Neurospora crassa OR74A: one gene and its partner. The protein of the gene in region 1 interacts with the protein of each later gene in a biochemical or structural test. Links are inferred from orthologs where the notes say so. Each region holds a gene or a part of one and is shown in the gene's direction. Other genes may lie near its edges.

Region 1 (4,022 bases):
CTCAAAACACGTCTCGGAATCTGGAGGGTAGGAGAAGAAGGATTCCTGAAGGCCTGTTTCGGGATCCACGGGCGGGTAGGGGAGCTTGAAATGGAGATGCATGTTGGTCTGGTGATGGGGTTGGTTGAGATCGCGGTGAATGATGTTGCGCAGTAGCGTCTTTTGGACCTCGGGGGGAATGAGGTTTGGGAGAATCAAGAGACCTTTTGGGGTTGGTCAGCAATGATTCGTGAGGAAGAGGGGTCCAGGATCTTGAGTTCACCAGGCAAGAGAGGATGGTAATAGATGGGGGCGTCCTTGTCTGTGCGGAACTCTGGTGAGTCTTCGGGGCAGATATAGCTGAAGGACCTGTTCAAAGTCTCGGTAGGAATGGAGCCAGCGAGCACAAACTCGGGGGCTTTTTCGGGACTGCGCAAGTCATCGATCTCGGGGCTGTTCATGACGATTTTCTGGTCGACTTTGGCGAACGACTTCCACTTGAGCCGCAGCTCATCCGACGGCTGCTCGTGCGCATCCAGGTCATGGTGTCCACCCATCATCTTGAAAGTCGGGTAGTTCTTTTGAGCGAGATATCCAAAAAGAGAACAGAAAAGTGACCGAAGAAATGGATATGAGTATACAAGTTGACTCCTTCCGAGTCCTCGTGTGACGTTGCGGATTTGGAGTAGGGAAGTATCGTGAGATGAAATTGTGGGGACTCGAGTGAAGCTTCAGACGGGACGGATGGTCGAGATGGATTGATGTGTGGGCGTCGAGCTGAGGCTGGGCTGGGCGTCTGAATGGCTGGAGCTTCTGAATGGCGCCACAAGTCAGGGGTAGTCAACAGTTAGAGATCGTGGCTACCTAGAAGGTACCTACGTATTCTGCCCCATCTTGGTGGGCTGTCGGGTACAGTCAATGCTCCAAGTAGTAGTACTTACTAGAACTAGGTAGAGGTGGTACATATGTACCTAGATTGCTTGAAAGTTTACCTACCTACCTTGAACTCGGAGTACCTACCGACGAGGAAAGCGGGCATTTTTTGGACGCGTTCATTCCTCCCTTGCAGTCCGTCCCTCCAGTGAGTGGTTTCCATGGTGCCGTCGCGGTCCGCGCTTTTTGTGTTGACACGGATTTCCGTTGCAAGCGCCAAGTCTAAGACGTAATCGTCCCGTCTCCAACCACCTGCACTCGGATGCCCGTCTGGAATAAAACCTACCTACTGCACTACAGTACAGCGGACCACCCCCCTGGACTGCCCTCTAAATCCGACACTCGAACGACAACCACAACTTCACAACCTCAACTTCCACTTGCACGTCCACCGCCTCTCCTTCCTTGGATTTCTGTCCCTTCACCATCACGGTCCCTTAGTATCAAGAAGTTGCAGGAACAACGGACGACAATTACATCGCTCGCTGCATCATATTGCCTTTTCATCAGCGGCCTTTCGCATTCAGCCCTCCGCCCAGGACGACCCGTCGACCATTCACGGCACCATCATCACCACCAAAAGTCAACACCAAAACAAAGTATTTACGGTAGCTAGTACTGTAGCCTTTTGACGGCAACGACGGACGATTCCACCTTTTTTCGTTTTTGTTTACCAATCCGCCACTGCGCTCCCTTTGGACACCACCTATCCTTGGCTGGACCTTGACTCTCCAAGGATCAATCAATCTCAAGAAGGCGACCCTTCGACGGCCGTCACTTTCTCCATCCGCCGCCGCCGCCGCCGCCGCCCCACGCTTCGTTCTGGGCTTTTCCATCAATCACTGTGCTTCAGCGCGCTAGGTACAACATCGTTCGTCGTAATCGTCCCCCACCACGACGACCACGAACACCAGGCACCAACCCCAACTAGTAGTTCTACGACTCCGGGCAAAGTCAATTCTTTCCCTCCAGGGACTTTCAAACCACCCATCTCAGTATAGCGGCCTGGACGGGTAACAGAGCAACCATGGAGAACTATCAGAAGCTGGAAAAGATTGGCGAGGGTACAACACCCCCTTCTTCTTCGACCCCTCCACCTTGGCTCTCTTCCTTCCATGTCCCGTACTGACATTCCACCTTCCGCATAGGAACGTATGGTGTCGTCTACAAGGCCCGCGACTTGGCTAACAGCGGGCGCATTGTCGCCCTCAAGAAGATCCGCCTCGAAGCCGAAGATGAGGGCGTCCCCTCTACCGCCATCCGTGAGATCTCGCTGCTCAAGGAGATGCGCGACCCCAACATTGTGCGTCTCCTCAACATTGTCCACGCCGACGGCGGTCAAGGCCATAAGCTGTATCTTGTCTTCGAATTCCTCGATCTTGATCTGAAGAAGTACATGGAGGCCCTTCCTGTCAGCGACGGTGGTAGGGGCAAGGCCCTCCCCGAAGGAACGGGCGCCGGACTGCACAATTTGGGACTGGGCGAGGATATCATCAAGAAGTTCATGAGCCAGCTTTGCGAGGGCGTCCGATACTGCCACAGCCACCGTGTCCTACACCGCGATCTCAAGCCCCAGAACCTGCTCATCGACCGCGACGGCAACTTGAAGCTAGCAGATTTCGGTCTCGCCCGCGCCTTTGGTGTTCCACTCCGTACTTATACCCACGAGGTCGTCACATTGTGGTACCGTGCGCCCGAAATCCTGCTGGGTGGTCGTCAGTACTCGACCGGTGTCGATATGTGGTCCGTTGGTTGCATCTTTGCCGAAATGTGCACACGCAAGCCCTTGTTCCCTGGTGATTCGGAAATTGACGAGATCTTCAAGATCTTCCGGTACGTTTATGCAGTTACCTTTTCTTGGCACCTTTCTGCTTCTCCCCTAGTCCGCTATACTGACCTCTTTTCCTCCAAACAGTCTGCTTGGAACCCCTACTGAGGACATCTGGCCCGGCGTCACCTCCTATCCCGACTTCAAGGCATCTTTCCCCAAGTGGGTACGCGACTACAACGTACCACTTTGCCAAAACCTCGACGATGTCGGTCTTGAGCTACTTGAATCCATGCTTGTCTACGACCCTGCTGGCCGAATCTCTGCCAAGGCAGCGTGCAATCACCCTTACTTTGAAGACTACAACCCCAAGCCAAAGAGCAAATACCGCGACAGCAGCAGATACGCCTAGGGACGTTCGCCAAGGTCGAAGCAGGAGCGTTAGGCAATAGCAGATCGACTATCCAAGTTTTGCAGCCGGCTGCTTAGGTTCGGTTGGATCTCGGTGACTTCAAAGTGGGCAGTTCGTGGCAAGGGTACAGTCTTTGTGATTCTACCAGTAGCGAGTGAGGTCGACACACCGAAACGGTGACAGAAACAAACTGTCATTATCACACCTGAAGCATATCATAGCATCCCACTTTGCTTTCAGGATACTCGGAAACATGATATTCGACACATCAAATTCCCCATACCTACATTTTGTTGTATGTAGGGTTGTGTTTTTAGGGAACAGCGTTCAAAGGGGTCATGGGTAAAGGAAGTACATTGGAATGGAGTTCTGTATTACACGATTCGGTGTTATCTGGAAGAGCAAATGGCATTCAAGGGATGGGGCTTTCTGTTAGCCCTGGTGCATATTAGGGAGTTGTGGTGTGAAGTGTACTGTACACAGGCAGGGAAAAGGCGCAAGACATTGTTCCAATAAATCTCGCATGTACATACTTTCCCCTGTCCAAACACAGGTCCTTCGTTTGGAGATGCGAAGTGATGTCGGCTGTTCCTTCATCTTTGATGTGCTCCATTTCTTTCTCCCTGCTCGGATTTATGTTGCCATTGATCGATTTCTCATGTTGCCTTCTTGGCTGTCTTTCTTTCCGACAAGCGCTCACACCACCGCATTACATGTCCCCCAACATTGTAGGCATTCGCTTTTATCAGACTGAGCAAATGGTACCTCAGCACATGGGACTGCAGACATCGTCATGCTGACAGCGCTAATGAAGAATGCTTTCAGAAAAGCCTAGCTCACTCAAGCCTGTACCAAGCGGTTGGCTCCCAACATTTCAGCTATCAAAAGAGCATCACGTCAGTGGATTGGGAACCACTCAACAAGACAGAT
Region 2 (3,992 bases), on another chromosome or scaffold:
TAACATATACAAATGCGGCACGTAATCGCGTGCGGAAAGGTGTACCTGCGCTAACTGCGCGCGCAGTACATACTGTAGCCACCTGGGCTTGACAGCCCAGACGTTGTGGAACAGTGCACTGTAGAGTTCCTGGACTGGGCTCACCCGGCCCTTCCATGTATCGGGTCTCTGTGGCATGGCCCGACTGAGCGAGGCCCGGGCCCAAAATAGCAACGGAACGACACCCTCAAGGTTGATGAGATGCAGAAACCTAACAAACTGCCCTGATGATCCAGGGGTATCGACGGCCTCATGTAGGGATCTCAGAGGATGTCTTTCCAACCAACAACATCTGTTCCTATACAGTTTTGGACCTCCACAAGTGTGTTTCTCGCTCATACCTCTAGCTTGAGGACTTTTATTCTTTTGTCTTCAGATCATCTTGACCTCTTTTGGTTGGGATAGTGAGACGCAGGGATGATGATACTCGGATAGAACGGTGATGATTGGGCAAGGGATCATGAGCCAATCTTAATACCAGTTCGATGTGATTCCATCATATCAATCTGCCCCCACCAGGGGCAGTTTGGGAAGGTGGAGGATTAAGCCAAGTCATAGTTCCAGCCGCTATGCCTACTTATGCTATTGTATGGATGTACGCAGTACATAGTAATGTGGACATATATGGCGCCGCTGAATGTGCCACCAATGCATACGAAGATGACCTTTATCACCATTATGCGTATTGTTTCAGGTTGACCAGCGGCCTTTTCAGTGCTCAGTTGACAAGTTTCTATCATTGAGTTTCTTTCATCCTATTCTGTGCCGATTTGTGGTTCCATCACTTATATGAACCATCGGTTAGGTTCAGATGATGGATGTTTCGGATGGTGGATGGGAAAAAGAAAGAACGGAAGAAACCCGGACAGTCCCTGCGTCTTGACCACTAACAAATTCCCCGCCTGTGATTCAAGACATCAGGGGTGATGATGTGCCCAGCTAAGCCGCTTTCAGCGCATCGAGACCCCCTTTGCCGTGATGTTGAGGTCTCCCACCAGAAGGTGCAGCTGTTAAGAGAGTGCACGGTGCACCCTCCCGCGCCATGCTGGAGTTGCCCCTGCGATTGCCGAGCGTTGTTAGGTTCGCGTTCACACGGCAAGGAACCCCAACCTCACTCTCTCTCAAGTGATCTCTCATTCGGCTCATTCAACCACTTCACCTCAGTCCAGTCTCGCTGCAACTTCTGAATGGTCATCTGCCTCTGCCTCTCCTTTTCCCGAGCTTGTCTCTATAGCTGATAATTCGCGGGTGAGCCAGCCACCACCGGACAACGCTCCACCCGTCGTCGTTGCCATTGCTCCTTTTCTTTCCCAATCATCGCTCATAGAAGACCACCATTCATTTGCCGCCCGATCTCAAATCAACCTTCAATTTCGTCCGAGTGGGTAACTAAGCCCGTCCAAGACAGGCCCTCCAGTGCCCCACGCGCGCGCGCGCTTCCACCCCAAAGTTAGGTACCGCCAACGACCTGGGCCAAATCCACCAGACCCCTCGAACGGGAGAGTCCGTCCCTGACGAGCCCTGACGGTTTGACCAACGAACGGCATTTTGTTCTTCTCCTAGTTCAGCCTCGGCGTAGCTGTCTAAGTACTCTGGCACTTTTGGTAGTGAGCGAGCTGAGCGTCGCATACCTACCTACTCATCACCCCTCCTTGCCGTCAGCCAGGTCGCCAGTATACTGCCTCTACACTACACACTAGGTAGGTAACTACAGTACTCTATCTATACTTCCAACACGAGATCCAGAAGTCGAAGTCGACGACATCCTACACTACTACCTAGGTATTTCCAGGTTTCGCCGGCTACGCTACACGGACAGACGCGGGTACGGATATTTGCGCCCGCTCGTACATTTGCGACTTGACCCCTTTGACTTTCACTTGAGTTCCATTCCCTTCGAAGATCTGGATTGTATTGCCAACACGGTCTCGATGCAGTCTAGTTTGGGTCAGCACACATCCATACACATCTCGCCCGAGTGCGCTCATCCCACCAGCTAGCAGTGCTAGCAGCTAGCCTATCTCGAGGCCCGCCTCTGCGCAAAAGCTTGCCCGGGCACGGCTACCCTCCGAACTCCTCAACTTGACCTCATGCTAAAAACACCAATGGTTCATGCAGCAGGAAGGCCATGCTCACCAACCGTTATTGCCCGCAAAGAACATGATGCGATCCACCCAGGGCCTCAGACACCGAGTCCATTGACGGCATTTGCTCCGTATCCATTTCAACGCACTCATTTACCAATTGACCCACCCGCGCATTGATTGCCTATACAACTACCCACTCCGCGCCTCGAGACGAGACCCGACCCGGCCCGGCCCCTCGACACCCCTCGACGCCCCTCTACAGCGATCCAGATACCCACGATACCCGCTCGCCTATTGCTGAGGAACCACCCCCGAACAACACGTAGGCAGCTTGCGCTGCTGGGACTGTACTCTGGTGTACTGCCCTGCCGGTAGCGAAGCGGCCGCTTCACACATCCCGTCCCGCGCCATGTCCTCCCACGACAAGAATGGGAGGGCTACCTCCTCGAGCGGCAAGGCCTCCTCCTTCTTCTCGAGAGCCACTGGCAAGAACAAGGCCGACAAACGGAACGCAAGCGATGAGGGTGGCCGATACCTTGCCGCCGACAACGACGCCGCCAGCACCCATACCGCACGCAGTTCGCGCCATTACCGGGACTCGTCTGTAATATCGCTGGACCGTCCCGACACGCCCGAATCTGGCCTCAACATGACGGCAGGGGTCGTCACGACGATCCCCTATGACCCTGTTTCCCCCGACAATCGCTCCCCCGTCGCCCTCGACCACCTTCCCAGGCCCGACCAAATGCCCCTAAGGCGAGAGCTAGTACCGCACCACCTCAACAAAGGCACTGGTGACTTCCACCAGTATCCCACCATCGACCAAAGCCCAAGCTCCCCCTATAATGGGCAGTCACCCAGCGCATCAAGTTCGCGCTCAACTCTCGCTACTGCTAACATCACCATGGCCTCCACGGGCCGCCAGGCCCAGTTTCAGCAATGGGGACCACCGAGAGAGAGCAGTTTGCCCGGGTACAATTCCAGAGGCCACTCGTACATGACAACCCGCAGTTCGGGCGACAATGCCAGCATCTACTCAGGTAGGGACGGACACTACCAAGAAGCCCCAGGAACCAGCCATCGCTCATCCAGGATAGGACTCCCTAGTACTTCGTCTCAGTCATCCTACCTTTCTCCCCATGCCCATAAGGACAGAGATACCCAGCGGTTAACCAAGGTCGCTGCCGGCCACCAGGGCTCCGAAGGATTCAACTTTCCCAAGCCAGACGATGACAATGTGATTGAACAGATGTTCATAAACCTGATGCAAAAGCGAGGATGGCACAACCTCCCGGACCAGGCCAAGCGCCAGATGATCGCATACCCCGCCGCGAAGAAATGGACCTTGATTTACCAGGATCGACTCACCGAGTGGCAGGGCGAACAGAAGCGCAGACAGACGGCCAAGATTGGCCAATACAGCAATGTCGATATTACCCAATCCTCCGATGACGAAGGCAGCCCCGAGTGGTATGTGCGCAAGGTCATGGAAAACGCTCTGGACAGCAAAGGGCTCGGAGGACTCGAAGTCAACCTTCGGACACAGCAGATCGGCTGGGTCAAGCGCTTCATCGACTGTCAGGGACAGATCGCCTTGACCAATGTCCTGCTAAAGATGAACCGAAAGACTGCCTATGGACCTGCTCAGCCGGATAATGGAAGATTGGATAAGAATTTGGACCGAGAATATGACATTGTCAAATGTTTGAAGGCTCTTATGAACAACAAGTTTGGCGCAGACGATGCGCTAGCTCACCAACAGGTTATTGTGGCTCTGGCCACCTCCCTTATATCACCTCGGCTCACCACCCGGAAGCTTGTCAGCGAAGTCCTGACATTCCTCTGCCATTGGGGCGAAGGCAAGGG

Evidence for each region. The genes of interacting proteins can lie anywhere in the genome.
Region 2: of the proteins of cdc28 (region 1) and bni1, one has a biochemical effect on the other in vitro, tested with the Saccharomyces cerevisiae proteins (3 studies listed by BioGRID). The link is inferred for Neurospora crassa OR74A from reciprocal best matches to the Saccharomyces cerevisiae genes CDC28 and BNI1.

The regions. Positions count from the first base shown.
Region 1 is NC_026506.1:1,088,741-1,092,762, reverse strand, and holds cdc28 (cell division control protein 2), read left to right. Parts: upstream 1-1,222; 5' UTR 1,223-1,939; coding exon 1,940-1,976; intron 1,977-2,060; coding exon 2,061-2,745; intron 2,746-2,827; coding exon 2,828-3,092; 3' UTR 3,093-3,678; downstream 3,679-4,022. Other genes in the region: NCU09779 (oxidoreductase), read right to left, coding at 1-203, 263-539. UniProt on the Saccharomyces cerevisiae protein: Cyclin-dependent kinase that acts as a master regulator of the mitotic and meiotic cell cycles. Required to drive the G1-S transition. More than 200 substrates have been identified. Substrate specificity is in part regulated by the bound cyclin protein.
Region 2 is NC_026505.1:4,767,760-4,771,751, forward strand, and holds the start of bni1 (cytokinesis protein sepA), read left to right. Parts: upstream 1-1,192; 5' UTR 1,193-1,739; intron 1,740-2,157; 5' UTR 2,158-2,535; coding exon 2,536-3,992. UniProt on the Saccharomyces cerevisiae protein: Required for the assembly of F-actin structures, such as actin cables and stress fibers. Nucleates actin filaments. Binds to the barbed end of the actin filament and acts as a leaky capper, slowing both polymerization and depolymerization.